Linked DNA regions of Bombyx mori. The protein of the gene in region 1 binds, or shares a complex with, the protein of each later gene. Links are inferred from orthologs where the notes say so. Each region holds a gene or a part of one and is shown on either strand. Other genes may lie near its edges.

Region 1 (3,500 bases):
TTCGCGCTGCAGTACCGCGTGGACGGGCCGCTGGGCACGCTGTTCCCGGCCACGTGCGCCGCGCGCTACCGGGCCCTGTTCACGCAGCTCTGGCGCGTCAAGCGCATCGAGTACAGTCTGCACGACGCCTGGCGCGAACACACCATACTGCACAAGCGACTCAAACACATGCCCGGTCAGTTTCACGTTCTGTGTATACAGCGAATGTACTCTTTTTTTTTTTCAGTTTGGCAATTAGCTTCTAGCGATGGCATTGTTGCCAGTGTCGATTTTATAAATAAAAAATATTTTTTCACCTACCATGACATGGGGTAAATTGGGATCCTGGGGTAAATTGGGACAAACCTGCGGAAGATTCTTAAAGTACTTGTAGCACGGAATCTACCTAATTTTCTTTAAGGTAATATTTATCAATGTATAGAAGAAAAACCAAGTTAACTATGGAAGTACTAAACATGAGTTAAGTTGGTCCCAAAAATTCGTCAAATTAAATTTAAAATAGTGGTTAAAAAGTGCGTTTTAAAACAGCTTAAAGAACTTTTAAAAAAAGTGATATTAACGTTGTTTTTTCAATAAGATCACAGTTTAGATAAGTTTTTAATACACCTGGAAATACCACAACAAACGGTAAGTTGCAATATTCTTATTTTAAATACAATATTTCGACAAAATAAAAAATGTATATTTTTTCCTTTCTTTTTGGGGAAAATTGGGACGTATGTAGGGTAATTTGGAACGAGACTGGAAAAATTAGGGACGAGAAAACACAAAATTGGAACGCCAAAAGACAAAATAGGGATGGCTTGTTAGGGTTGTCACTGATATCTTATAATAGATTTTTTAGCCTATACTATCCCTTAATTGCGTGATGTAAAGAAGGTTAATGTGTTTATCAGTTAGTTTATGTAAGTATTATAGGTAAAAGAAAAGTATATATATAATTACTTTTTTTTCGCGACATTTACCTTGTAATATCTGCCCGGTCGTATGTTCTTTATAGCAATAAAAAAAATTAAAAGTTAAAAGAACTCAAACGAATCAAAACTTTTGTTATTTTAGAATCTATTCACGCATCGAATCATGATTTTGTTAACATTCACAACGAACACACACAAATAAAAACAGGCCTCAGATTTTAAATGTAACATTAATTAAAAATCCGAGATATCCAATTATGAGTGAGTGAATTAATTGAGTTTAGTTATTTCGCTTAGAAAGAATTTCTTTTATTTTTGTTATTATGGGCAGTAATCAGATAAAGCTGTTTTTTTATCTTATTCACCTGATATCTTACTCTTGCTCAAAGATTATTTTGAAAATGTTGATTAAATAAAATTGTATTATTGCATTTCCAGTCCTTTTGTTTTCTATTTTTTATTCTATTTTATGATTTTGTTTCAGAGTTGTGATTTTTAAGGAAATTTAATAATAATTTTCTAAAATATAACATGCAAATACTTTTTTTGATCATTGTATTGTTGATTATCATTCACGTCACATCGCTTCGGAATAGAAACCAGCTTAATTTACACTATGTTGTGTATTGTGCTTAAATTATGGATTGTATTCATCATTTCGGTCCATATAAATAATTATATGGCACCTACCTATATATCGCAGTACTGCGAGTTGACAACCCTTACAAATATCCCAATTTAACCCTTAACCGTGTCAATTTACCCCGGACGCTGGGTAAATTGGGACGGCCATTATTTTACCGATTATTTCTTTAAAATGAATAATTAAAATAATGTAACGGTTTTTATCACCTAGGTACGTTCAAGACTCAACTTATTTCTTTGGTTGAGCAGTGACTATTTAATTGGAACTATTTTAAAATTCAATCTGAAGGTCGATTTTGTCCCTATTTACCCCATTGTACGGTACCTACGCCGAAAGTTCGGTTTTCCTCCCGCTGTACAGGGAAGAAAGTGTAACGTTTTCTCCCTGGGTACAAGTGCGCATGCGCGTTAGTGTCTACGTCTGCTCTCACGCACCTAAAATTCTCCGCCATTTTTGTGCTCGGGTAATTTGCAATATTGTGTTTAGTGTAAAAGTGAAATAAACAAGAGGCAATAAAATTTAATAGTGAAGTATTAAACAAAGATGAGTTCATCAGACAGTTCTTATTCAATTAGTAGTAGTTTATTTACAAATTAAAAAACAGTTAAATTGGTTTTTTTATGAGCGTGTTTGCCACACAACTTGTGCTTGCTTGCACAATGCTGTACTTGCACAATGTACTAATTACATAATATATAGGTACTTTAAATGAAAAATGGAACGGAATGAAATGAAAATTATTTATGAAATGGAATGAATCTAGATGAAAAGAAATAACGTCCCAGTAAAATGATGATAGTTTACTAAGACTTCGTTGAGATTTTTGAAGGTATCTAGATAGATCTAGATAGTCTAGATACTTTGTTTGATTTTCCGAAACTTATACATTTTCATAGATGCTAAAAGATTAGTAAGGCCATTATTACATGCTTAAACTCAAAAAAATTTAAATTAACAAAATAAGACTGTTTAGATAATTTCGCTCCTCGTGTTTTCACCAAAACGCCCAAATATATTCGTAGTTGTAGGTATTTTTATATATCAAAACCCATTGCGAATAACTTTTGTAATAAAGAATAAGTTTGTATAAGTATTTGTTTAACAAGTTGCAATAACATCAGACAGAAGAAACTTGACTATTGTTGGTATGAGCTCACTGATACCGCCGTTCTTTTTTTCCAAACAATAAGCAATGTTAGCGGTCACCGTCCTCAGCGAACCTGTCGCTTACGACGAAGGGCTCGGAGAGTAAATTAACTCATAGACACAGCCCACTAAGTTTTCGTCGGATCTTCTCAGTGGGTTGCGTTTCCGATCCCGCGGTAGATTCTGCAAAGCACTGTTCTTGCTAGGGCCAGTGTTAGCATTACTCCGGTTTGAGCCCCGTAAGCTCGTCACGACTTACACGTCAAGGAGAATCTGAAATAGCCTCTCGAGGCTAGATATATCGACGCTTGAAAGGCAAACGTGACTAAGCGACTATAACTGCTTTGTACATAAATGATTCGATGCGCAAAAAAAAATTTCTTTCTAGGTCTATTAAAATCATTTCAATCCTACAGCTAGATTCGTTAAAATATATTTATTTTTCAGGTATTTCAACTTTAAATTAGTCTACTGTAAAGCTCACGCATTTTCGCTTAGTCACGTTTGCCTTTCAAGCGTCGATATACATAGGCATAGGAAGGAAAAAAGTGATGTAATGTTGGTTTAATCGTGATTGTGACAGAGGTGTGGGCGGTGATGCGGCGCGTGTGCTGCGTGCGGGCGGAGGCGCTGCGGGTGTGCGGCGCGCTGCAGGAGGCGAGCTGCGCGGGCGCCGAGGACGACTGGGCCGAGCTGCTCGCCGCGGCCGCCTCGCGCACCGACCTCGACCGTCTGCTGCATCTGCACCTGCGCGCGCTCGACCAGCACTCCGTGCACGCCATGATACACCA
Region 2 (4,188 bases), on another chromosome or scaffold:
TGTTTTCAATGTTTATCAAAGAATACTTGATGAACAAGGTACAGAACAGAGACAATCATCGATATTGAGCCATGTGCAAGCGTTGACTGGTTAGTAGGAATGACACGTCTTGATACTTTGGTTTATTGCATTTTCGTGTGTATTATGTGTACTAAACTTTGGCTTATACCAGGTGTTTCTAATACTACCATAAGACGAATTGTTGCTGAAGGCAGATCTAACAGAGGCGTATTTAGTACGCCCGGTAAAAAAAGGAAAGGTGGCAAAAATACTGCGCCTTCCTCGTTTTCCTCTTCCGATGAAGAATTTTTATGGATGTGCAGTATTTGGAACCATTTTCAAATTCTAATAGCCTATAATTAATTAATAAATTCATGAACAGAGTAATTGGAGTTTTCATCTAAATTTCGAACCCCACATTCGACACAGTAAGATTTTCAAAAATAATCTTTGATCATTGCATAAATTTTTATATTTGCATGTATCACACAGAATCAGCCGCTATAAGAAAACCAAAGTATCAAAACGTTTTACTCCAATTTCCCCAATACTGCTAGCGTCAATTTCTTTTTTCCCTTTTTGCCATTAGATCCTGGTAGACCTATATATACTCGTAGACTTCGATGTTCACACATCGGTCACCGTTCTCGTCCAACCCATCGCTTGCGACGAAGGGCTCGACGAGTAAATTAACCCTCAGACACAGTCCACTGAGTTTCTCGCCGGATCTTCTCAGTGGGTCGCGTTTCCGATCCGGTGGTAGATTCTGCGAAGCACGGCTCTTGCTAGGGGTCGTGTTAGCAACGTCGTCAGGTTTGAGCCCCGTGAGCTCACCTACTAGTTAAGGTTCCGCTGAAATAGCCTCTCAAGGCTATCAGCTTAGGTAGGGAAAAAAAAATGTTCACACTGGTATTCTTGGAGTCCATAAATTTGAATGTCTACTGAGCTATAATAAATAAAATGTAGGTACTAGTAGCACTTGTGAGCAAAATTCTCTCAAGATGAGCCCCGAGGTTCCATCTAACTGTATTAAGCTGGCATAGACTTCAAGATCATTATAGGAAAAAAATGTACGGAATAGCTAATATTAATGTAAGAAAATATACGGATTAGGTAGGAAAAAAAAGTGACTCTTTTTACCACACAATAAACGACAATTACCATTCATGTAAACTTGGTAAAAAATTAAAGTGACAAAATTAAACGATTCAAACAAATTAACATCGATGCTCCCGCCACTTCTAATTTTACTTTACGTGTCAAACTACGTTTTTGTTGTCGTAGTAATATATTAGTGCCTAATCCATAGAAATAGATTAGATTAGACACTACGAAAAAAAGAGTTTGCTTAAAAGTCTCGTTACCAGGCCATACAATCTTTAAAAAAAAGTATCCAATTAATTTTGTTTACCTACCTACCGATAAAACCGTACTTTTAAAAACTTCACAAGTTTTGCTGGTCCTTATGCTATTTAATTTATTTTTTGGTAAACCATGATTCATGACGTACTATTAATTCTTTGGGATTCATCTGAAAATGCTATCGAAAAAAAAGAGGTATGTACAAGTAGATGCATATAATTTTTAGATTAAATTAAATTATAAAAATACATACTTTGGCCATTAAACTACTGTATTTGTAATTTAATAACAACTGTATACTGTTTCATAATATTGAAAGGTGGATTACGTTTATATTAGACATATACTAAGGTTGCAAAATAGTATTAAATCAAAGTGATAAAATAACAGTTGTTCATTGTAATCCTGTCTTTTTTATTTCTTGCAGAACCTTGCTTATGCGAATGAGGGTGATGTTGAAATCTATGGTAGATTAAGTGAGATAGCAAAGAGCCATCATAGAATCCAATCCTTTGTAGAAGAGACTGGATTCCAATCCCGAAAAGCTTTATCAGGTTTGAATAGTAACAGGTCTTTTCTGTAATAATTATTTACAGTTAATGAAATTCCATTAGAATCAAATAGCATTTTATAACAAATTTGTAAAATAAACTTCAATATTAATTGCAGCAACAACACACAGTCACAGATATGGACTCTATACCCAAGCACTAAGTGAAGGCATCACTGAAGTCCTACTATCATATAAGAAAACACTTGTAGAAGTTGAATCTCTAGTAATAGGGAATCACAACTACACTTTATCATATGTCTATAGTTACATTGAGAAATATCAAGGTCTGTTCAATACATTGAACAGAATTATAACAACTATTAAAGAAAGGAGATTAATGGGCTGTCAGATATTGAGTTTAATTCATCAATATATTTTAAGTGGCAACAAGTCGATTCATGATGCCGTTTTGAAGTAAGTTTTCAAGTATTGAGATATTTATAGTTATATAATTATATAGACTAAAGTATTTCAGTATTTACAGACTACTAAGTATTTTTAATGAAAAGCTCTAAATTTTGTTAATTTAATTTGTGGTCATATTAATTTTTAAATAATTGTAATCTTGTTAATCTTGCATTTATTGTTGTCTTATATTATTTTCATCTTTAAGCATGAAAACTGAAAATGATTTCAAATGCCTGAAACAAGATAATGATAATGATAAATGCATGTGTTTACTAAAAACAGTTTTAATTTAGGATATAACATACTAAAAGCAATGATAATACTAGAAATGCTTATTTGGTATTAGTTTATTTAGAAGATGTGTGTATGGTTAATTTATTCTTCATTATTTATACATTTAAAAAATTAGACACCAAAAAGGAACTCTGTTAGTTTATATTTAAAAGTAATTTTAAACATTACAGAATATTTACAAGTGTGAACAAAGTATTCATACATCAACTATGTACTTGGCTTCTTTATGGGGAATTAAAGGATGTGTATCAAGAGTTCTTCATATCAAAAAGAAAAGATGACTCGTCAGAAACTTTATTGTCAACACCATCTTCTTCTAATGTCTGTGACAAAACTCTTGTTTCTACAGTAAGTTTATTTTTTTTATTTAGTAAAGATATGAATAAAGATAATAATATATAAGATAATTATGTACGTAGGGTAATATTGTAAAGTAATTAAAGCGGCTTAAGATGACACAAAATGGTAGAGTAACAATTATTTGCATGATTATATTTTCATTTATGTCTTCAATATGTGAGCCCCATTTATAAATAAACATGTTATTTACATCATATTTATCTTAGGACCCCAATGTGTGACAGATCCTGATAATGGTAATTTTTAAGCAACTTCTTATTTTTTTATTCCAATAAGGGCCCTTTTGATATTAAGTAGTTACCCGAGCCCTTAGACATCATAATGTGAATGCTACAGCCACCTTTGAGACATGAAATCAGAAGTTTCAATTTTATTGTCTGCAGGACTGTTTCAAGATAAAAGGTATGATAGTACCTACCTGTATGAGTACAATATGCCGTACCATAAGTACACGGCGATCCCACTACTATGATATAATACCCGGAGAATGCTTCTACCCATTCAAAGTAACCTTTTACGACACTAACAGAAAGTGATAGGTAGAATGACCAGTCAGCTTCTTTTATTACAACAGGGACTTTCCTGTTACTAGTCATCAGGTGAGATAGGTGTATCCATACCTACCTTACTAAGTAATATAAAAATATTTTATTTCAGTTGCAGGAGACATTAGGTTGTGGTTACACACTCAATCCAACACTGATACCACATTTCATGCCATTGTCATTAGCACAAGAAATTTTGTTTATCGGAAAAACTGTAATACTTTTCGATTTAGATCCAAAAAAAGTAAAAAAACACAGTGGCTTCGCTTCAAGCAGACCGATGTTGCCTTTGAAAAAGTATGGAATTGAGTCTAGAAGGTAAAGAAATTACAATGTTATTATGAATATAGATGGTGACAGTGGGGGTGAGGTCACACTACATAATTAACAATTTCATGTACAAATACTTCATTATTTTTGGTTTTATTTGTGCATCTGAATTCTTAAGAAAATCAAGCACATATTTTATAATAAATTATGCAGGTTTACAATTTGGGAGGACAAAGAATCTGAATTTCATGAGAAACTACAAAAACTTAAAGATCCAGATAATTTTGAAGTTCATAATCTGAGAAGTGTTATAAGGGAGATTAAAGAATGTGTAACTAAGGTAACATTGTTTTTTTGTTAGTTGATGTTTAAATGAACTTTTATTAGTCTTTATAT

The links.
Region 2: the proteins of gamma-tubulin complex component 3 homolog (region 1) and gamma-tubulin complex component 4 are in contact, whole or in part, in a cryo-EM structure (PDB 7QJ0), measured with the Homo sapiens proteins. The link is inferred for Bombyx mori from reciprocal best matches to the Homo sapiens genes TUBGCP3 and TUBGCP4. Residues at the interface, in NP_006313.1 of Homo sapiens: Arg252, Asp253, Tyr256, Gln259, Ile261, Asp262, Lys264, Arg305, Ser312, Leu313, Arg315, Leu319, Gln322, Ser323, Cys325, Ala326, His329, Arg333, Tyr336, Arg337, Ser340, His343, Ser344, His424, Pro425, Tyr593, His595; in NP_001273343.1 of Homo sapiens: His35, Pro36, Ser37, Glu38, Ser40, Val41, Arg44, His116, Leu117, Ser118, Ser120, His121, Tyr124, Phe125, Asp127, Gln128, Leu131, Pro134, Lys159, His160, Cys162, Gly163, Gly164, Leu165, Pro166, Arg169, Leu630, Ser631.

The regions. Positions count from the first base shown.
Region 1 is NC_085121.1:10,746,061-10,749,560, reverse strand, and holds part of gamma-tubulin complex component 3 homolog, read left to right. Parts: coding exon 1-175; intron 176-3,292; coding exon 3,293-3,500. UniProt on the Homo sapiens protein: Component of the gamma-tubulin ring complex (gTuRC) which mediates microtubule nucleation.
Region 2 is NC_085125.1:5,625,242-5,629,429, forward strand, and holds the start of gamma-tubulin complex component 4, read left to right. Parts: upstream 1-1,388; 5' UTR 1,389-1,494; coding exon 1,495-1,557; intron 1,558-1,789; coding exon 1,790-1,916; intron 1,917-2,031; coding exon 2,032-2,329; intron 2,330-2,787; coding exon 2,788-2,965; intron 2,966-3,634; coding exon 3,635-3,840; intron 3,841-4,005; coding exon 4,006-4,132; intron 4,133-4,188. UniProt on the Homo sapiens protein: Component of the gamma-tubulin ring complex (gTuRC) which mediates microtubule nucleation.